Caenorhabditis elegans: one gene and its partners. The protein of the gene in region 3 purifies or fractionates together with the protein of the main gene of each other region. This does not show direct contact. Each region holds a gene or a part of one and is shown on either strand. Other genes may lie near its edges.

Region 1 (6,513 bases), on a different chromosome or scaffold from region 3:
CGTTAAATAAGATTACTGTAGAGATTTCTTCCTTACATTTAAATTGATTTTTACTTTTTTTTCCCAATTGTTTTGCATTTAATATATTCGATTTGTGTTTGCATATCAGACACAATAAATGCTGAACATAAAGAAAATGAAAAAATCAAAGAAAATAATCAATATCTCTACAGTAATCTTAAATGCGCGCACGCAAAATGTTTCAACTTGATTCGATTCCGAGACCATTATGCACTAATGCGCTCTCCTTTAAACACAGGAAAGTGTAAAATAAAATACGTTGAGCATATTCGAACTGATTTCTAAGTGGAAAAATAGTTTCGTAACTTCAGGGTTACTCATCGGAGACCAGAAACAACGACATTATGCTAATTCCGAAAAATGCCCTTCAAACTGTAGAATGTTCTTTGGCTAATTTTTGAGTCATAATTTTACGAGATTTATAAGTTTTCAGGTGTATGGTTTTTTTTTTTAATTTATTCGCTGTTTTTCGACAAGGTGATCTGAAAATTGAAAAAAAAAAGAAAACGAAAAGAGGGAAAATGTGGGCACTTGCCGAGAATCTCCTCATCTCTCTCACTTCTTCCGCCGCGGCGGGTCGCTCACAACAAACAGCGAGTCAGGGACATAAGAAAGAGATTAGAGACGCAGACGTCACTATTTCGCTTTGACCCCTCCGTTATTTAACTGTCATTGTTTAACAGGTAATGAGAAAAGTGTTTATGAAGGTGAAAAATTGTTGGCAAAGTATTTGACAAAAATATACATCATACGGTTTTAATAAATTATGAATGATTTTTAAACCCTTTTGATTGAAAAGTAACTAGTTGAGCATTGTATGATCTTCGAAGATATTCCTTCGTTGCTCCTCGACCTTCTTCATCCAACGATTCTGTTCGGCCTCGACGCGTCCGAGAACATCTGAAGAAAATACTTTTTTAGTAAAAACTATAAAATCTTCAAATGGAGCACTTACTACTTCTCGCACGTGTGGTTCCTTGTGTATCCATTGAATTACTTGCTGAAGATGATTCATCGTCAGTTGATGGAGCAGCAGCAAAGATATTATCCTCCATTTCATCATTATGTTGTTGATAACTGATCGATAATCGTTTCTTCCGGAGCATTGGATCCAGGCACATAAGGAATACCATGTATCCCGTTAAAACAGCGATCACACAGATTACAAATATTACAACTACTTTTAAGAGCACAGTGTTTCGTGACTCATAACGGCAGTCGCAATTTGCAAGAAATGCATCCATATGGGTCTCGTCAACGAAGTTACTGACTTGATCTTTCACAATGTTGCTTGGCTTGCTGAAATGTTTGAAAAATTATATTTCTTTGTCGAATTTAAGGTTTATTTGTGTAAATGATGAATTTGAGCTGTTGAAAAAAATTAAAAAAATAAGTGTTGAAAATGTTTTAAAACTGATCAACATGTTTTTTTGATGAAATGGAAGGAAAATAAAGACTTAGAAATTCGAGATTTCATGGTTATGATTTATTTTTATTCGAATTTTTACAACGATGTAGATTCTCAGCAATAGAAAATAAAAATAATTGTTTTTCTAAATCATATTTGTGGTTTTCTGAAAGAGAAAAAATTAAAACTGTGACTAAAGTTCCCACAAAAATTTCTCAAATTTTAACGTTTATAAAACAGTCGGAAACGTTCAAATTTCGATGAAAAAAAGAAATTCAAATTTGCAATTGCTTTGAGCGAAATAATACCATAAAGGTGGGAGAATTTCATAACTCTGCCAAGTTATTTTTGATGTGGATTTTTAGCAAAAAATATCAGAGTGACTAGGAGATATTTACATATTCGGATTTGATATTTTATATTTTCTATTAAAACAATTCAGATTTAAAATTAAAAAAACTCACCAATGGCTCGGTTCGATGTTAGTTTTTGTATAAAATCGTCTCCTCAATCCTTCTGTTTTTTCAGTTGTATTTTCAGCCAAGTCGAGAAATTTTAAAAGACTCGGACAAATGCATCGACATCGTGTATCTTCGAAGTTAGCCTGAAAATATTTATTAAATTATATCTTTATAAAAGTAGTTATGAAACAAACCTCAGTCCCTGCTTGGGATAATGCGGGAAGAAACAGTAAAGCAATAAATAAATATATCATTAAATCTGAAAAAATTACGGAAGTTGGACTGTATTTTTTTTTATTTTTGCAAGAAAATAAAAAATGCTCTGAAAAATAGAATACAAGTAAAACAAGAAGTGCGCCAGTGCAACTTACTGGCGCTTTTCGCGATGGCTGACGCATTCTTCGTTTCACTTTTATGATGTTCACAACGAAAATCGAAGAAATAAAAACTTGCACTTATTTTTGTCTTAAATTTCAATTTTTCTTCTGCTTGTTGAGTAATTTTTCAGTTCTCAGTCTAAATTACTTGCTAATTATCTTCATTTCAGTCTGCATGAATACTAATAATCGATTTTTCGCATTTTTTTTGCAATTTCTATCCGGTATTTGTCTTTTTTAATTCATTCGTTACTATTTTCAGTCATGTCAAAAGGTTTTGCTTTCAAACCGTCTGCTTTAGCTGCCAAGGCAGATAAACTGTGGTCAGATAGTAAGTTTTCAATTTTGTGTTATGTTATCTAAGTCACGTGAATTTGCAGGCAAAACAGAATACACAGCAACTCATTCAACAATCAACCACGTTCATTTGGAAAAGAAATCGCTGGGCGATATTATTCCGAAATCAGCAGATGCGCCTGTTGCAAATGAAAAAGTTCGTTGAAACACAATGAGTCAAAAAATTCGTTTTCTTCTAATTATAGGAAGTCGAAGAGGCTCCACAAGCATTTGTTTTTGGCTCCAAAATATCAGATCGTGTTGTGAACAAAGAAGGTGATTCAACAAAGCCGGGTGGTTCAGACGAAAAGACCATGACAGCAACTGAGCTCTTCCAAAATGCAGTTAAAAAAGATGACGATGTAATCTATATTTCGAATCAATATTTCTATTCATAATGTTAATTTCAGAAAAATGGAGCCAAAAACTTCAGAAAGGAAGCTGAACAAGAAGCGGAGAGAGCAAAGGAAGCCGAAAAGCAGCATGCCGGAACGAGTTCAGTCGAAATCACCACCGGGGAAGAGAACGATACTAATATTTTCCAAGTGAGGCAGTATTCATTAAAACATAATTTTTATTTATTTGTCTTTAGGCTCCTTGCAAAATTTGGGCGTTTGATAAATTGAAAAATGCCTACTCTGAAAAGGGTGTCTGCAATCTCAGGATCAACAAACGAGTCGAGAACGGACTGACGCACCACCGAATTGGTAAATACTGATAGTTAGAGTTTATTGTATTCAAAATTATTTTCAGTGGCAAGAACATCTTCCGGTACTCTTCGTGTCATCATAAATTCCAAAATTTTCTCTGATATGCTTTTGGAGCGGGTCGACAAGAGAATTCGAGTGAGCTTTAATGTTATATGAATATATGTTTTATTGTTACTGTTTACAGATTTCCGCAATGGGACCAGAGATCAGCGGTGTTCAGATTTTCCTTCTAAAAATCGGATTCACCAAAACTGAGACGATCCCCGATTCGGATATATTCTACAATATTATGAGCGACCTGCTGAAATTGGAGAAGGGAGAGAATAGTCGGAAGAGGAAAGCGGATTGTGATCTGAACGCTTCAACTGTTAAAATCAAGGATGGAAAGGAAGAAGAAGAAGGTGATCAAGATCAAGTTGATGAAGGATTTGTCATTGTAAACAAGCCAACAGAAGATGAGGTGAAAGAAGAAAAACCAGCTGTTACAGCTGCCGAAGAATCTGCATCCAGCTCAACTCCTTCCGAATAACCATATCAGTCATTGCTTCTTTCAACTTCCCCTGTGCTCTTTTTTCTCCTTCCAATCCCCACAAAAATGGTCTCCAACTTTCACCCAACTCAAATCATTTCCCCTTAAGTCTAATTTCTTTATTGCTAAAAATTTCTTCTAGATTTCTACCAATCTGGCCTAACTTTCCAATTTCGTTTTATTCTTATATATCCCGTTTTATGTGTTTGTCGAATATATTTGGTTTGTGAAAAAGAGAAGAGTTTGCAATAAAAAGCAGAAATACAATCAAGAAGACACTTAGACAATGGCGTTTCGGTTATCAGTGGCGCTCTTACTGAAGGAGGAGGAGAGCGAGATAACGATCGTTGTGGGGTGATCGATTCAGAATTCAATTGGCAACACCATGATCATTTATCACCTTGTCAATTCTGTAGCATTGTTTCAGTAGGAGAAGATTTTTTTGTAGTTAAATATCAATTTTGAGTATAACAAACGCGATTTTTGCACCTAAAATACGGTAGCCGGTCTCGTCACGACAATTTTTAATACTTAAAAAAAAATTGTATCAATTTATTTATAAACTCTAAAATAACACCGAAACACTTCAATTTTTATAAATCTAGAGGAAAAATCGATTCCGCATCAATGAGAGTTTGAAGTTACAGTACTCCTTAAAGGTGCACACACCTTCTTGCATTTAATAAAAAGTTGTCGCGTTGAGACCCGGTACCGGTTTTTTGGCGTCTTTGTAATAAACCCCTTTGAATTTAGTTTTGAAGTTTAAACTTTGAAGTTCAAAGTTTGAAATTATCCCATAATATCTAACCACGCGTCGGGCGTTTAATATCATAAAATCAAAAGTCGAATTTTTTTTATCTTATCAACAATTGGAGTACACGTGTACCCACGATATTTCTCGATTTGTACTATTTTAAATATTTTTTCTCGGAATAAATTCTCTTTGCCTGCCATTTCTACATTCTTGTTTCATTTCATTTTACTACTCGTGAATCTAGAACCTTCACTCATCTCCAAAATGGTTCTCCTTGGACGAGGATTACTTGCCGTCGGGCGTGTTGCTTTTCGACGTCCGATGATTGTACGACACCTTCAATATGATGCTTTTGTTGATAGACATATTGGACCAAGACGATTGGAGCAGCAACAAATGCTCGATTTTATTGGATACAAAGTTCGTGGCTTGATTTTCCATTACTAATGGTATACACAGTTATTACGCAGCTGCAGAAGTTTACGATTTTTTACGCTGACATACGGTCTCGTCACGATCGGAAGTTTTTCTACCGTATCCGCGAGTATTTCGCAATTTTATAATGATCCGAATATTTTCAGGTTTTTGATTGAAAACACGTTAAAATCGAGCAAAACTTTAATTACTTCAGAAAAACTTTGCTAAATACTTTTTGATACGGTAGCTAAAAAGTTTCGACCATGTCGAGACCGGGGACCATATGTCCCGCAAAAATAATTTGCGATGTTGGCATTGTATCTCCTATTTTGTTTAATGCATTTTCTGAAGTTAGAAACGCCTGAGAATTCTGTCTCATAATAACCTTGAAATTACAGGATCTAGATGATCTCACCGGAACCAATGTGCCAAATATGATCAAAGCAGAGAAGGCTCTAGAGCTTCCAGCACCACTTGACGAATACAAGATGCTCAAAGAGTTGGAAGCAATTGCAGCACAGAACAAGATTTATAGATCTTATATTGGAATGGGATATTATGATACAATTGTGCCAGCTGTCATTTCTCGTAATATCCTTCAAAATATTGGATGGATCTCCCAGTATACTCCATACCAAGCAGAAATCTCACAGGGAAGACTTGAGTCTCTTTTAAACTTCCAGACTATGGTAAGGCATGGTTTGATGCCTATGAGTCTAATATATTATGTTTGAAGATTGCTGAAATGACTGGTCTCCCAACAACCAATGCATCTCTTTTGGATGAAGCCACAGCTTCTGCAGAAGCAGTTGCACTGGCTGCTAGAACTACAAAGAGAAACAAAATTGTCGTTGACTCATTCTGTCATCCACAAAATCTTGATGTAATCAGAACTCGTAGTGGACCACTTGGAATAGATATTGAAGTTTCTGATTCAATTGAAGGATATGCGTTTGATGATAAAGTAGCTGCTGTAGTTGTTCAATATCCGAATACTGAAGGAAGAATTCATCAATTCGACGAGTTGATCGAAAGTGCTCACAAGAATAAGTCATTGGTGATAATGGTGTGCGACTTGCTCTCGTTAACGATTCTCCGATCACCAGGAGATCTTGGTGCAGATATTGCTGTTGGATCGGCTCAACGATTTGGAGTTCCATTGGGTTATGGAGGACCACACGCTGGATTTATGGCTGTCGCTAAGCATGATGCGAAGAATGCATTGGGAAGAAATATTCCAGGAAGAATCATTGGAGTTACTAAGTAAGTGGTAACCAATTTCTGGGATCAACCTATCACCAAGACTTCACATTTAAACTTTTCTTTTTTCAGGGATGCAAATGGAAATCGTGCTCTTCGCCTGGCTCTTCAAACCCGTGAGCAACACATTCGTCGTGATAAGGCAACCAGTAACATTTGTACTGCTCAAGCTCTTCTTGCTAATATGTCAGCTATGTACGCAGTCTATCATGGTCCACAAAGACTCACTGAAATTGCCAG
Region 2 (7,349 bases), on a different chromosome or scaffold from region 3:
TTTTCTAAGAAAATGAAAAACGAAAATTTTTAGTTATTCGGTTTGGCTCAAAACCCGGAAAAATGGATCTATCCACCTCATTGAAAAGTTATAAAAAGAATATTAGCAACATAACTTAGCATACGTCATATTGAGTTATTCTTTTATGAATACGGAGCCATCAGTGGATTAACTTTTTTGTCTCGTGCAACATGAGCTTAGGGATATTGAAATAGATTTAAAAGATCTGTTTTTAGTGATGGATTTGAAAATATAAAAGAAAAAGGACGCTAGAAATTGTATTCTAATCAAGAAATAAAGGAATTCAAAGCAATCAGTACTAATTAGTTGAATGAGAAGACAAAACAATCTTAAATTGGATCTGACATTGAAAGTTTTCATTGCAACAGCAAAAATAAGTGTCGGCTACTGAGGCAAATGACTTTTTTTTATTTTTATTGCCCTACAGCTAGGCGGGTTTCTCTTTTCTCAGTTGTTTACACACACAAATTGAGAAATCAGGTGGTATTAAGTGATGTTTATCTCTATCAATTGAGAGAAAATGAACACAAATTGCAGTGGTACAATGTTTTATAACTCAATTTTGTTTTTTAATAGGAAATTTGAAAAAAATACTAGACTATTTACGTAAAGCTGTAAAAACGCAACATTTTTCAGGAAATCAGTCATCGGAAATTGCGTAGATTTGAAAATGTCTATGTGACGCCAAAGGAAATTCGTAAATATTATTTTTTAAAAGATTGTGGGAACCTAGTGATAAACTGACGGAATTTAGTATTGCAAAATATGAAAAATAGGGCAGAAGACGGCGGGGGGCAGGCATCATAAAAGGAGCTCGTTCGCTTCAAAATAATAATCCGCAAAAATAAGCTATCTACCCTTCTTTTTTATATTATATAGTCATAAAAATTAAATGGAGCGCTAACAAAATGTTAGGATTTCAAAAATGAATCTGTTCTGCTCGTTTTGACCCGTCAAAATTTGAATTTCGGCGCGAAAAGCTGAACTGGAGATTGTGAAGAACGAGGAGACGCAGAATGAGGGAGAGTTGGGTCGGGGAACATCTGGACAGCAGATGGAAATGAAAATGCTTAGAAGCCTTTAGAAGGAATTGCGAGAATATTATATGGATTGAGTTGGGAGCAAGTTGAGGGAAACGAGGCAATTACTGGATTGGAATAAAAAATAAGGACGTATTGGCGAGGGAATTGAATAAAAAAAAATAATTTTGAAATATAATTCTAAAAATACTGACAATCTTAACAAAAATCAAGGAAAAAAGCGATTAGAACAAAGAAATTTGTTTCGAATTCGAAAGCAAAAAAGTTCTACCATAAACCACTTTCGCGTCGAGACCCATTAGAATAATTCCATGTGTACCTTTAAGTGATATTACGGTAAATATTGATTCTTTCGAATGAGAATAGAATTAACTTTCGAAAGAAAGCTTTCCATAATTTTAGGAACCCAATTTCTGTTTGAATTTCCGAATTCTGTTTGAAAAACTGTACACAAAAACATTTATATTTTTTATTCAGCTCTCAAGAACCCAATATAAAGAAAGGAGCGTATTTCAATTCGTTTCGCATTTTGTTTCGTCTTTTAACCGCTTTCGTGTCCCTCAAAATGACCTTTGACGGTCATCCTTCTCTTTTTTTTTCAAATACTCTTTGTCAAAAGAGTCAAAGCCACTTTTTAAGATGAGTAGAAGACGTGGAAGCTAGAGAAAAGAGGAAGGGCATGACAGAGAATAACAAATTTGATTTGAAATCGAGAAAAAATACTTTGAGAGTGAAGAGTTAGCAATATACCAGGCAATTTTCATTAGAAAAGGGAAATATGACTAGAAAAGTGAGGAATAGATTTTTCAGTTTATTGACAGGTTTTTTTTCGAAAGTTCAAAACTCACGGTGAACTGTGGATTTATTGTGTTGAAGCCGTCAATATTTTGCAGATCGCAGAAACTGAAGAAAAAAAAATTATAATTCGAATTTTTCGCATAACTCATTTTCAAGAAAATTAGGGCGATGAAGAAACATAAGAACGAAAAAAAATTCTTAGCAAGAAAAAATGCCTTTCTTTCACACAAGAATGGCTAAAACGGGCGGAGCGTCGTTTCATCTAAGCTCTCTCACTTTTCAACGATTTCTAATGGCGAGTGCTCCGTTTTTGGTTGGTTGGGTGGTCAACAGAGAGGAGCGGCGGCGGCAAAAAAGGAATTGTTCTAAATCTCTCTGCTATGAGAACTCTCTAATTTCTCTCTTTTTTATGCGTTCTTTGACCGAAAACGAGGGAAAAAATGCGCTGAAAAATATTTTCAACTTCACGCAGAGGTCAGAGTGTCTCTTATATTCTCATTCTCCCTCGCCTGAGCCACCCTGACAACAACTAAAAGTTACCGTATTTAAAAAAAAAGGAATTCATTTTCATAAATCTAAAAATTTCAATAATTTTCTACTGATGAAATTGACTGAATCTTAAAAAAACTGACTGTAAAAAAACAACAAAAAAGACGGCAACTAAATGAGAACTACAGGAATACAAAAAAACGGACGAAAATGCATAGAAAAAACAAAAAAAAACAAAAGAGTGCCAGAAACCAGAAAGTGGTTTAAAAACTGGTTTTACGACAATCCTACAGCTACAGAGAAATATGAAAAACAAGAAGGGAAACAATTTTTTCAGCAAAAATTTAGAATTTTCGATCCGACTGTGACATGGCTAATTTGATTAAATGTTCCGTAGATTCATTGCGGTTGGGGAGGGATGAAGCCTGAAAAGTTTAATTTTTTTTTTCTATGTTTCAGTTTAAAAAATTACCATTTCAACAGCTTTTTGTGAATATGAATCAATCAATCTTCGCGTTTTATCCATTCCATCCGAATTTACAACAATTTCCCGTGCTTTTTCAGCATCTCCATCATGCTTGAATTTTCGAAGAAGCATCGTATTGAGCTCAGGATATTGCTCGCAAGCGTATAGTACCGGAGCAGTGGCGAGACCTAAAATATAAAAAATTTGAAAATTATTTTTTCTTCTTTTGCAAAAACTTGAAACTATATTATTCGTTTTCTTCTCAAAAAAACTCGTGGCGAGACCCACTCAGAAAACCATTTAAAATGAAGTGCCAAATTTTTACGAAATATCGGTAATTCCATTCACCTAATTTCAAATCAGCGGCCACAGGTTTTCCCATTTCATCAGCAGTCGCTATAAAATCAAGAAGATCGTCAGCAAGTTGGAAAGCGATTCCCAAATTTCGACCGTACTCGAACGCAATTTCATGAAGCTTCAAATCTGATCCATCTGAAAAAGGCCGATATGTTGCAAAGAAAATTGATGCAAAAACCACCTGCAAGAATAGCAGCAGACCGGCAACTACTGGCGAACAAACTGGCAGTTTTTCGATGAGTTTTTTCTATATAAGCCTTCATTCTGTCTACTGGTGTAGCATCTGTTGGAGTTGTTGACATTTGCATAAATTCACCCTAAAATATTATTTATTAGAAGAAAATTTGAAAATTTATAGCTGTATAAATATTCAAATTTCATTATAAATAAATAAATAAATTGATTAAAACCTACTAAAACCAAATCTTCAATAATCGACGCCATAACTGAAATGATGTTGGGTTTTCCGATGGAGCAAAGAATCTGCGTGGCACGAGCAAGAATGAAATCTCCGACGAGCACTGACTGAAAATGTTTTTTAACATAAATTTAGAAGTTTTTATCCCTAAAAACTTCTTCTAAGTTTACAAGAGAAAAATTTATGCGCAAGAGGTTACTGTAGAGCGACCAAATTTTCGATTTTTCTGTTTGCCAGGTTTTCACAGTTTTTCTCCAAAAAATATAGTTTTAATCAACATTTCTAAAATCTAAAAATAATTTTTTTGCAGAGAAAGCTGCTTTAAAAGCTGAAAATTTTGGAAAATTCAGCAAAAAAAGAATAAATTTGTCGGATTACAGTATCCAATTTGTTTTGAAAATTCTTTATTTTTTATAGATCGTGATATGTTATATTCAAGATTAAAATTTTGTTTTAATTTCAAAAAATCTACCATTTTATTTCCCCAAACAGCATTGACACTAGCTGATCCACGCCTTGTATTCGCCTCATCAATGACGTCATCGTGCACTAGAGACGCTGTATGGATCATTTCGGCTGTAAATTTCTTTATTTCTCTTTTCCGACTATTCATAGTCTTACCAATCATTCCTATTTTGTACTGATTTTGACATACTGATAAATGAGCGGCGATCCCTGATCGTTCTGTTGACAACATTGCCAGGTACTCTTCTCTGCAAAAAAACTTTTTTTCGTTTTTGATCAGTAAACATTTTATTAGTGAACATCAATACGGGCTGCCAAACTCCATTAGACTAACTACTGTTAGAATTGTACTACGACATGTGAAAAGTTAAATTGAAAATTGTTTTGAAAAGTTCATGGTATGTAGTCATTTCAGCACCATAGGAATATTTTAAAATTAGTTTCATTTTCATCAATATGAAGTTATGCCAAAAATAGCAAAATCATTTTCTCCTGTGCACTATCTACGTAAATCAGACTGCTCTTCTTTTTCAGATATAAAAAGTTTTCCATGTAATAAACTTACGAAATTGAACGATTCGCTGCGGAATTACAAGCATTTCCCATAAGAAGCGATACAGTCGGCCGTAACATTTTTCCACCCTGAAATTTTCAATGTCTATGAGTTGGAAAAATATATTTTTAGAAACCTGTTGAAAATAATAATGTGTCATTCGTCCTAAATTCGATGTAACATTCAAGTCTGCTAGATTTTCAACGGCACCCGATTCATCCTGTGGTATTAGTTGTACCATTATATCGTTCTGAAATTTCAGTTTTTTGGTTAAACTTTTATTGAATTTAGTGAATTATAAACCTGCATTTGTCTAACATGTTCCTGCACGAAAGCTGTTGAAGCAACACTATTATCTGATGAGGATGTAGATGTTGATGTGGCTGCCATTGAACATTTTCTGCAATTTTTTTTTGAATTTCGGAAATTTAAAATTTCAAAAGTTGTTACCTGAACTGCCTTGCGACAATATTGATTTTCGGTAGAACACCCATAATTATCTTCTATTCTTGATTCTTTATACCAGTTTTTGTTTCTTTCAGTGCTCAAAAACTAGTTTCACCGGCGGCTCATGTGGGTTTAGGAGGTCTGAAAGTGAATGAAGATAAGTTTTTTGAAAAGTGAATGATGCAAATTGAGGCTTCTGAGAATGCCAAAAGAGTCATTGATAACAGATATAACTGTCCATTCAGGAGAGGAAACAGCTGATAATTGAAATTCGCATTAAAGATGTGATTGACGTGATTAAAAGTAAAAAGGAGTATAGTTATAACCGAGAATTTTGAATAAATTATATTATTATAGCCTAAACACTTTGAAAATGCCAATGAAAATTTTGGAGTAATTTTGAGAGGAACTTTATTTTAATAATATCTCTGATTTTTTTTCAATGTTAGATTGGTAAATAATTTTTTGGATTAGAAAAGAAAATATAGAAACCAGGAACTAGTTTTTATATTTTTTTTATTTGCCAAATTTTGAATTGAATTCAATTTTATATACACTGATTGATTCAAGCAACCAGTGTACTTCTCAAGATTTTACAGTTTTCGACCATTTTCACTAATTATTGCATCAATTGGCATTTATATCACCAATTTATCTCTTATTTATAGTATGTTATCTGAAAACCATACGTCCATTTTTAAATATTGTTAAATACTTTAAATATTAGAGAATCATTATTTTCAACTAGAGATTCACAGAAGTCTCTCCGAATACAGTTTATTCGGAAAAATAAAAATAAATTAGTTGTTGTATAAAGGTGATCAGAAAGATGGAAAATGAATGTAGCCTCCCACTTTTCCCCTTTTCACCGCCGAAGATCGCTTCTCTTTTTCTCTGTGCTCTCTCTTTCTTACGCACTTCGTCCCTATCTCAGTGTTCTTTGAATTCTCTTTTCTCTAGCAAAAAAGAATATATTTTTTATCAAATTTTGTTTCTTTCTCTCTTTGGTTCGAGTTTATCGAGAATAAAGAAGATCGATAGATAATTTTCAAAAGGAACAAATAAAAATATTTGTGAAAAATTTGGTCAATCACCTTTGACAAGTAGATGAATCGGATTGAATCCATTTAACCGCCAAAACAAAAAGGTTATTGAAGAAATAGAAAGAATAAATATATTCATTCGTTTCTGTTAACATTGTTGATTGTTTTTGAATTTAAGATTCAAAAAATTTTTGAAATAAAATTGAATCTAAAAACAAAAAAAAGACAGGGATAGAGACATGGGAAAACGAAGAATAAAACCGCGCATCACAGACAGGAATTGACTAAAACTTTCAGAGAGATGAATAGGAAAGAAATGGATTTTGATTGGCAAAAGAACAACAATCCGATGGAATAACATAGTAATGTATAGTTTTTTGTGGAAATCGGGGATTAAATAGTTGTGTGTGGGGGGACCTCGTAGAAACCAAGAAATAAAACCAAAACCAATGGAAAATTGACCGAATAAAACTGAAAATTAAAAAAAAAGAACACCAGAGAAATGCAAAACAAGGCCATGTTGCAATTGTGATATAAAGCTCTGTTATAAACAAAAATGAAAAATCAAAGAAATTAAAGTTCCGTTTTGTCAAGAATTGTGTATCTCGAAGAAGCAGGCTTCAACTTCTCGAATGTAGACGGTGGTGGCTCAGTGTCCGGTGCTTGATTTCCAGTCTGAAATGTCTTACGAAAATTGTAAATATGGTCTTTGGAAATAAGTACTGCAATTTTTTCAATAAAAATACGGTACCGAATCTCGAAAAGGCAAATTTTTGAAAAATACAAAAGGTGCGCGCCTTTAAAGAGTACTGTAATTTCAAGATTTATTTTTTCTTGAATTTTTTATTGACTTTTCGATCAGAAAAGGAAATTTATTTTAAAAAAAAATCAGATATAACAATAATTTTTTAATAATTTTTTTCAAATCGAGAAAAAAAAAGAAAAATCAATAAAAAACCGCAGCAACTAATTTTAAATTACAGTAATCTTTAAAGGCGCATACCTTTTCACATTTGACAAAAATTTGTCGTTTCGAGACCCGTTTACCGTATTTTTGACGGAAAAAGCACAACATTTCGCGTCTGGGAAAAATATTTAGAAAAAATCATCCCAACCATAATTTTTTTTAAATCTTCTAATAATTCGGAGTTTTTTTTTCAATTTTCAGTTAAAGCTTCATTTATTTTGTTTTTTTTTCATAGAAAATTCCCAATTTGAGGGATTTTCCGTCCTGAAAATCTCATGAAATTTG
Region 3 (8,779 bases):
TTTGATTCTAATTATGCCAGTCAAATCTTATTGATGATAGTCCCTCGGTTCAGTTCCATACTCCATATTTAACATTCATGATCCCTACTGCCCCTCAATAGGATCAACACATCTACGTCTCTTCAGTTAGAGCCAGTCTCTCATTGACGGTCAACGGCATTCTCTGCGTATCTTTGTCTACATTGCTCTCTCGTTCCGTTCGTCGAGAATGTTCCTACGGCTGTCTCGGTTTCTCATCGTCCTCTTGGTTTGCAGTTGTGGACAACTCGACATCATTCGTCTCGTTACTCTACATTATTCCTATCTCTCTCTCTCTCTCTATTATTATAAATTTCTCCCGATTCTGACAGTCCACCCGTACATTTGTTTCCGTGCTTGACTTCAAAGCTCAATCACGGCACAATATATGGGTCGCCAGTCATTGTAGTCGGAATTTTTTTCAGTTTTCCAGGAAATTGTAAAGAATAAAATTAAAAATTTTAGAGGTTGACAATATTTTTGAAAAAGAAAACATGTAAATTAAAAAATCACTCAAACAATTTAACGTTGAGATTGAAATATACGTTGAGATTGACTGGTAGATTCTGAGGAAATCGTTTCCATGAAGAATATGAACAATTTGAATAAAACGGCTTCACCGTTGTTATAGAATTTTCGTGTCTTATTTCTCATTGAATTTAAGCGAAAGAAGGAACACATTCGGGATTGTTGTTTTTGTAATATTTTCTCGAATACAAATAGAAAATTTCAAAAGAACGTTATTTAACTTCGGTTTTGAAAAGGCACTGAAAGCTTTTCTTTCCTTTCACAACCGTATGTTTTGGACCACTTCTAATTCTGAAAATTATCAAGCAATGCTTTTTAGAATTATATATCGTTTCCCAAATAGGATAACATTAATCTGCAAACATTTCACTAGTTTACAAAAGCATAGAGATGCATCAAAATTGGTCAGTTATTCGGTTTTTCAGCGACTTTTAACTTTATCACAACCAAATTTGATATCATTTGAGAATAAAAGTTGGGTTGGGTATTTATTTATTTTGAGTTTTATATACAACTTAGAGTTAGTTCAATATTCATTTTGTGATCCAAGACATTATAACTACACTGAAGAGCCTCCATGGCGTAAATTATGTTGTTTTGAAGGACATCATAGAGTGCAGACTCATATTCCGCATACATCCTATTTGACGACCAAATTGTTGATAGAATATTCTAGAATGAGGTTACTGGGCGAATGTATTTCCATATAACTATTCATTTGAAGCTCAAGTCTTTTGTTTCCAATCGGTGTCGTACTGTCAGGTTGATTTGACAAATCGCCATATGTATCTTACTAAATTTGGAATATTTTACATGCTTTTGTTCTATGTAAATTCAAGCAAAACCCTTTATTCTGGAGTGTGAAGTCGAACATTTTCAATTTGCACCATATTTCACATTTGGTCAGTTTTTGGTTTTTTCATTTAATTTTAAAAGGATTTTACAATTTCCATTTTCATATAATCCTCCGTTTGAAGAAAGTTTGAAGAAAGTTGAAGAAAGTTTGAAGAAATATTTCGCATCATCCGTTTCATAAAAACTCAACCGCAGTGAATCTAGAGAAAAGAAGTGTCTGTGTCTCTTAACCACCCGATATGTGCCGTCGTTAGTTGGTTCGTTGCCAATCGCGTCCTAACACCACGGGCAACCAAATGGCCATTATGCGAGTTATTACTAATCGAGGACCCCTCGAAAATTATACGCGCGGAAAGGGGACGGACGAACGTCCGCGCACACTAATACACCCTTCACCCTATCTTCAATGGTGGCACTCATGGTGTACTCGGTTGTGTGCGGGCCTTTCATTCTTATACTCCCAGGTTCGACACCACCGGTGCACTTTTGTGTCACCAACATTTGCCTGCTCACTTGTCCGAAAAGTCCGTCTACCCGTAGCTCCTATCCATGTTACTGGTCAAAAAGTGAACATGGAAGCAGGTACAGGTGCACGGCGAGTAGGGTCATGAAGCTGGGGCTCTGGGAGCAAACAAAATCTTTGCGCGTGGGTGGTTCAGAATTAATTCCTAATATTATTATTGCAATTTTAGTTTTCAATTCTTCATGCAGAACTTCACTTTTCAAACTTCTGACATGCGTTTAGTAATACTTGGAAGAATACATTAATTTTTATAGAAAAGTAGGAATATCACATGCAAATAAAATCATATCACAAATTAAAAATAAATCCCTCAAGTAATATTAAAAAGAAAACTACAAACTAATTATTCACAGAAAAGGCATCACTCAATTAATACTCAATGGTAATTGTTTTGGTAACCAGATATTCATTCAAAGCTTCTTCTCCCATATCTTTTCCGAATCCAGATTGCTTGAATCCACCGAATGGAGCTGCCACATCAGTTTTCTGATAAGTATTAACGAAGACTGTTCCAGCGTGAAGAGCTTCAGCAACACGAAGTGATTTCGACGAGTCACGGGTAAAAACTCCAGCAGCAAGTCCGAATTCTGTGTCATTGGCTCTACGGAGTACATCTTCGATGTCACTGGAAATGAATATCAATTAGTTTTTTCCTAAATACAAAATAATTCTTACTCGTCATCAAAACTGGATACACACATGATTGGTCCGAATGATTCTTCACTTGCAGCAAAGTTTTCATCGTCAATATTCGACAGAATCGTTGGTGGGAAATAGAGTCCTTCTCTTTCTAAACGTTTTCCACCGACTTCAACTTTAGCTCCGCCAGCTACAGCCTTCTCCACATACTCGACTAGCTTATTAAGATGTGCTAAATGATTCTGTGGACCGTGAGCAGTTGATCTATCGAGAGGATCTCCAATTTGATATTGTTTAGCTTCCTCGACAAGCTTCTTCACGAAATCATCATGAATCGATTTTGCAATAAAAACACGCCCAGCAGCAATACAGTTCTCTCCTTTATTGAAGAAAACTGCTCCACACGCTTGTTTCACAGCTTTTTCTAGATCAGCATCTGCGAAAATTATCAGTGGGGATTTGCCTCCAAGTTCCAGGGAAACCTTCTTGATATTCGATTTGGCACAAGATTCCATGACAGTTGCTCCAATTTCAGTGGAACCAGTGAATCCAATCTTTCGAACATCTGGATGAGCAGTAAGACGATTACCAACAAGGGATCCAGATCCAGTTACAATATTGATAACACCTGAAATTTCAATTAATTTAATTTTTGCTGAAAATTTATTCGATATGAAAACAAATTACAATTCACTTGAAAAAAAACTTGCCAGGTGGGATTCCAGCAAGAACAGATAGCTCAGCAAATTTAAGAGCTGTGAGTGGAGTTACTTGAGCTGGTTTGTGAACAACTGTGTTACCCGCAGCAAGGCAAGCAGCCATCTTCCACGATAACATCATTAATGGATAATTCCATGGAGTAATGAGTCCAACAACTCCAATTGGTTCACGAAGTGTCAAACATAGATTCTTATTTGGACGAGCATTAGAAATTGGAATAGTTTTTCCTTGAATCTTATCACACCATCCAGCAAAGTATCTCCACACATCAATAGACATTCCAACGTGAGTCTTTAGAGCCAACGTATATACTGCTCCAGCATCTAGGGACTCTAGTGTTGCGAGCTCTTCTTTGTGTTCTTCCATGAGTTCAGCGAGTTTGTAAAGTCTCTTTCCACGTTCACGGGCAGACATTTGACGCCATTCTCCACGTTCAAAAGCTTTCTTTGCTGCACGAACAGCACGATCGACATCAGCTACAGTAGCCAAAGGAAGTTCACAAATTGGCTTTTCAGTTGCTGGGTTAATTGTTTTAAAAGTGCGTCCATCTGATGAACCAACAAATTTTCCATCAATGAATTGGTCATGTGGGAATTTCAATTCCATATTGTTAACATTCAATACAATTGGATCGTAAGTTACAGAGATTCCACCTTCACCACGAAGATTACGGATCACAATGTCGATGTTTTCACCAAGAGTTGGCCCGGCATAGATCTGTAACACATTTGAATTTTTAGAATACTTTCATAAAAGCTCACTTGTCCTGATTCAAGCTCAGCTCCAGTATTGAACTTGATCTCCTCCACAAGACGAGTAACATCAGCAGAACTTGCACCACTTTCGAAGAAATCAGTGTCACTTGAAACTTGAGTCTTCAGAATTCCGGTCCAAATTTTCTTCAGCTTAGCTACAGTACTCTTTTCTTCGTCGGTTAATACAAGTTCTTGAACTTGATCAGCTCCCTGTCCATATTTAGAAGCTGGGACAGTTTTTGTACCAATCTTCACTGTATCTACAATAACCCATCTACCGTCTGATCCTGGAAGGAGCAATCCACGATCTTCAACTAAAACTTTTCCTCCTGGAACTTCTGAAACGAAAACTTCTACAGCATCATCTGGAAGCTTCTTTGGCTTCCACAACTTTGAACCGAAAAATGAAACTTTTTCTCCGTTCAAAACAGCCCATGCTCCAGGAACTTTGTCATTTCCACGAATAAAATTATGAAGTTGACGCTGAGTCTTCGACCAATCTATTTGAGCCAATTCTGGTTTTGTGGTAATATATGGTTCATAAGATGCTCCCTCTTCTGGCTGTACAATTCTTGGAGCTTTTCCAGTAGCAATGAGTTCTACTGATTCTGCCTAAAAATTTAGATTTAATTATACTCCGAATTGTACAACTCCTAGACTTACAACAGCAGCTACTCCAGCTGGATACAGGAATCTTTTATATAAAGTGTTCAATGTATCATTCTCTTCAACTTTGCATTTCTTTTGCAACAAAATTGGTCCAGTATCAAGACCATCATCAGCCCAGAAGATCGATAATCCAGCTTCCTCATCACCTTCAATAAGAGTCCAATTGATGGCAGAAGCTCCCCTGAAAAATTGAAATTTATAGTAAATTAACATTTTCAGCTGAAAACCTGTGCTTTGGTAGAATACTTGGATGATAGATAATGCTCTTCTTAGCCGGCGCTTCAGTGATTTCTAGTGGGATGAATTGAGTGCAGAATGGCAAAACGTTGAGTTCAGCTCCAAACGATTTGTAAAGTTCAAGCATTTCCGGAAGAGTTTCGAATTTTCCAGTTTCAGGGTTCTTCTTACGCCAACGAGATGGTTTTTGAACTGGGACACCATCTTTGGCAGCCTCGACGGCTGTAAACGAATTGCAAAAATTATAATGTTTTTTAAAAGTGATCACGAGTTGTGGTTCGTAGAGAATTGGGTTCAAAAATCAGACCACAGCAAAAATGAAAGTAGTGTGATAAAACTATTTTTAAACGTACCCAATAGATCTTCTCTTCCATTTTTATCTGGGATAGTGAAGACTACAACAATCTCGTGTCCATTCTTGCGTAACTCCTTGTAAACATCGACACCAAATGCCGACTGACCAATGATTGCAATTTTCATGGCTGAAAATAAATGTACTTGAAAAATAGGAAATGAATATTGAAAAGGAAGTGCGAGCGTACGAGGAAATGAAAATTAATGAACAAAACTAGACTGACCAGCTTTTCTGTCACACCTTTTCACAAGATGAGAAGAAGAAACACGGTTCAAAGGTCTAATTATGAATGTTTGAGATAACTAAATATCGGGGGTTTATTCAGAACATGAATTTCAGTTAGAATTTATGAATTCGTGGAGCCATAACTTTAAATTTAAAAGTATGAAGAAAAACTGTATTTATCAATTCAGTAAATATACTGTGTTTTTTCTTTTTCGAAACGTTCATTTTGCGTGATAAACATAAATTGAACACATAAAATGCAGAAAATTCTTTGAATGCTGTCTTTGTCTATTTCTTTACCCATTTTCTGAATTTTTTGTATCCTATTCATGTTCTTTAGGCTATATAAATGTTTCGAAAACGAGGAAAATGGAGAAAACAAGAAAAGTCGATGAAGCAAAATCTCTACAGTAATCCTAAAGGCGCACACAACATTTTTTGAATTCATTTGCAACGCGTGGCGAGACCATTCCGCATAAATGCGCCCCTCTTTTTTAAATCGTAGGATTTCTGCTAATTTTTTGAAATTCTACCAGTTTTTTTAAATTATAGAAAATAGAATAAGTTTTTGTTTTCAGGTGATTGAAAACCTAAAACCTTTAGAAATAAGCAGTGACAAACAATTGAAAATAAATCCATTTTGCGTTGCGATCGCCAACGAAGAGATGACCGATAAACAACGCGTTCTGTTTCTGTTATCTTCGACTTCTCGCCACTCAGCCGAAATGATGTTATCACGTGGCAATAGGAACATTATTCGATGGGCGATTCTGACCACATCCGAACTGTTTACGACATCAGAAAGCGTTTTTTTTCGCGTGCGGCAAAGATTAGATGCACAGGGAACATGAAGAGGTAAAATTGGTACATTTTTGGAGAATCACGTTTTAAAAGGAATGAAATTGGTTAATTCGATGATTTCTACCTCGTGCAATTTGAAAATTACTCTTTGATGTTGCATTCTTATCGAACATCAAAGAAAAACGAGTCAAAAAGTTCAGAAAATCAGGAAAGAAACAAATTCACCAACTGTCGTCGAAATTTGTTGCTGTTTTGTGAGGCAAAATTGCATGTTCTTGTTTTATTTAAGATCTAGAATTTTCGTAACTCGCCAAAAGTATTTAGTTGTAAAAAATTGTATAAAAATTTAGCGTCGAAAGAAGTTCATAATTGAATGACACTTCCAACAGCAGTGTCATTATACTATACACATGTAAGCTTTTGTGATAACGCAACATCGTTATGTTTAATATTTAACTACAGAAAATCGATAAATACCATTATTTGAGAGAACGAGGAGGCAAGATGATATATACAGAATAACCGCGTTTAAATTCATCTTCAACAAATCGAAGAATGAAAAGTAAATTCACAGAAAACGTTGAGTATTCAGAAATAGTAAAAGGAGTTGACATGGAAACAGAACACATTGAGAGAAAAAAGAGTGATTAGACGACAAAGAAGGTGATTAGGGAAATGAATGTTGTGAGCACAAAGATGATAACCCAGTTGAAGAGACGCTGCTCCCAAGGCTCAAGCATGTAGATTCCAGAGACTAGTAGATATTGAAGATAGACGTGCTCGGCGAACGTTTGCTGGAAATAATTACATTGAGAGGAAGGTTAAAGCAAAAAAAAATCTCAGCAAAAATGAATCAGCATTAAAAAAACACAAAATAGCTGATCACCTTTTCGGTAGAGACTTCAGAGGGTTAAAATTAACTTAACAGAAAATAATGGAATACATTTAAGTCAAATCACTTGATTTTAAATATTAACGACAAATTGTATTTGTATAGTTTATGTTACATAATTTATTAGTATTACAAAATTAAAATTGAGATACAAAATAATTATTTGTTAATTAATATAAAAATTGAATTACCTTTACAGTTTTTGCCTTGTTGAACTGGCTGAAATCCCCATAGTCATTTTCGAATGCTTTTGTTGTGGTGGTGGTTGCTGTAGCCGTCGTAGACATGGTTTAACCTGAAATAAAACAAGAATTGGTGTCAAAAAAGTCGATAACTGCCGCGCAGACAGCAACGGAAACAAAGTATAACATTCGCAGTGATTGCAGATGACACACCGTCAAATGGTGCCATCTATCAGGCGAAAAATGATAAGAAAATGACAAAATTCTACAGTTGCATCGATTACACAGGAAATGCATTGAAAACACGAAAAGTATCCGGAAAAGTTTAAAGTACGACTAAAATCTAGGATCAAAAAATAGTTTTCGATTTGATTACTCGAACTTTCAGCAAATAATAACTCAAAAAGCGCCGAAAACAAACAAAACGTGAAAAGAAAAGGTGCGAAAAATAAACAAAAACTGAAAGCAGCATGTGCGCTCTACCGCACTGCCCTTGAGAATTAATTTAAAATCAGCCTTTTTTGTTTTTTTTTCTGTTAAAAATTAATATGTTCGTTTTTTAAAGTGTTTTTTTTTGTAAAATCCAATCTTCGAAACTTTTTCTGAGTTGCGCGAATCCGGTGGCAATTTATGTGAAGTTTAAGTAGATTGTTCCACGTTGTACTCTCTCCTAGTGTTGTGTCAGCGGCACAGAATATCACATTTTGTTTAAACAGAATGTTGTTCATCAGGTTACAAATTTTTAATCAGATCTGTGTGAAAAGTAAGCAAAACCAAGTAAATTAAAGAAAATATGCCCTATTGATAACTTATCAGACAAATATTTGTGAAATTCGTATAAACAATGAATTCAATTTGTTGTTCTTTTTTTTTTATTCCGTGTCAGAAAAAACATAATTTTTTTATTCTGCAGATGCACCAACCATCAAGACGACGACGACCGCCGAGAGAAGTCGAAAGGCCATCAGCAACTATACGATACGAGCCTGTCGCTGAGCCAGAACCATGGTGCTCATTTTGCTCTTGGGATTTAATCCTAATTCTACTGGTCATGCTGGGTGCTGGATGTTTTATTCTTCTTCATCTATATCTCTACCCAAATCTTGAAAAAGTCGCTCCCTTGCCAAACATTGATCCAGAAAATGTAAGTTAGTGTGAACTTACTATTTGTTATTAGTATTTTCAGGCTCCGTACACCTGGGGAACTTATCGTCCACACATGTATTTCGGATTACGGACTCGATCACCAATGTCCCCACTTTTTGGAATGATGTGGTACGAACAACCAAATACAATTCAGAGACCTCATATCAGGCATTGGTGTAATCAAGGTTTGAACTTTGTGGAATACCGTTCCTGATAAACAAATAGATTTTTAGA

The links. The genes of interacting proteins can lie anywhere in the genome.
Region 1: the proteins of alh-3 (region 3) and ran-5 fractionate together in Caenorhabditis elegans (co-fractionation; one large-scale study listed by BioGRID). This does not show direct contact.
Region 2: the proteins of alh-3 (region 3) and coq-1 fractionate together in Caenorhabditis elegans (co-fractionation; one large-scale study listed by BioGRID). This does not show direct contact.

What each region holds. Positions count from the first base shown.
Region 1 is NC_003280.10:6,045,580-6,052,092, forward strand, and holds ran-5 (RanBD1 domain-containing protein), read left to right. Parts: upstream 1-2,529; 5' UTR 2,530-2,531; coding exon 2,532-2,598; intron 2,599-2,647; coding exon 2,648-2,760; intron 2,761-2,809; coding exon 2,810-2,965; intron 2,966-3,013; coding exon 3,014-3,148; intron 3,149-3,195; coding exon 3,196-3,310; intron 3,311-3,356; coding exon 3,357-3,448; intron 3,449-3,497; coding exon 3,498-3,842; 3' UTR 3,843-4,107; downstream 4,108-6,513. Other genes in the region: R12C12.6 (Transmembrane protein 9), read right to left, coding at 824-921, 977-1,320, 1,894-2,033, 2,085-2,288; gldc-1 (Glycine cleavage system P protein), read left to right, coding at 4,861-5,016, 5,412-5,702, 5,750-6,276, 6,346-6,513.
Region 2 is NC_003279.8:5,410,435-5,417,783, forward strand, and holds coq-1 (All trans-polyprenyl-diphosphate synthase PDSS1), read right to left. Parts: upstream 5,196-7,349; 5' UTR 5,102-5,195; coding exon 5,058-5,101; intron 5,008-5,057; coding exon 4,911-5,007; intron 4,858-4,910; coding exon 4,744-4,857; intron 4,697-4,743; coding exon 4,620-4,696; intron 4,303-4,619; coding exon 4,211-4,302; intron 4,166-4,210; coding exon 4,062-4,165; intron 3,697-4,061; coding exon 3,586-3,696; intron 3,489-3,585; coding exon 3,353-3,488; intron 3,307-3,352; coding exon 3,163-3,306; intron 3,003-3,162; coding exon 2,821-3,002; intron 2,774-2,820; coding exon 2,693-2,773; 3' UTR 2,407-2,692; downstream 1-2,406. Other genes in the region: erp-44.1 (Thioredoxin domain-containing protein), read right to left, coding at 6,671-6,772.
Region 3 is NC_003282.8:11,019,250-11,028,028, reverse strand, and holds alh-3 (10-formyltetrahydrofolate dehydrogenase), read right to left. Parts: upstream 5,427-8,779; 5' UTR 5,425-5,426; coding exon 5,298-5,424; intron 5,167-5,297; coding exon 4,935-5,166; intron 4,889-4,934; coding exon 4,702-4,888; intron 4,651-4,701; coding exon 4,045-4,650; intron 4,001-4,044; coding exon 3,274-4,000; intron 3,192-3,273; coding exon 2,600-3,191; intron 2,550-2,599; coding exon 2,294-2,549; 3' UTR 2,159-2,293; downstream 1-2,158. Other genes in the region: F13H10.8 (Small subunit of serine palmitoyltransferase), read right to left, coding at 6,973-7,119, 7,409-7,504; mogs-1 (Mannosyl-oligosaccharide glucosidase), read left to right, coding at 6,359-6,379, 8,313-8,543, 8,586-8,730, 8,779-8,779.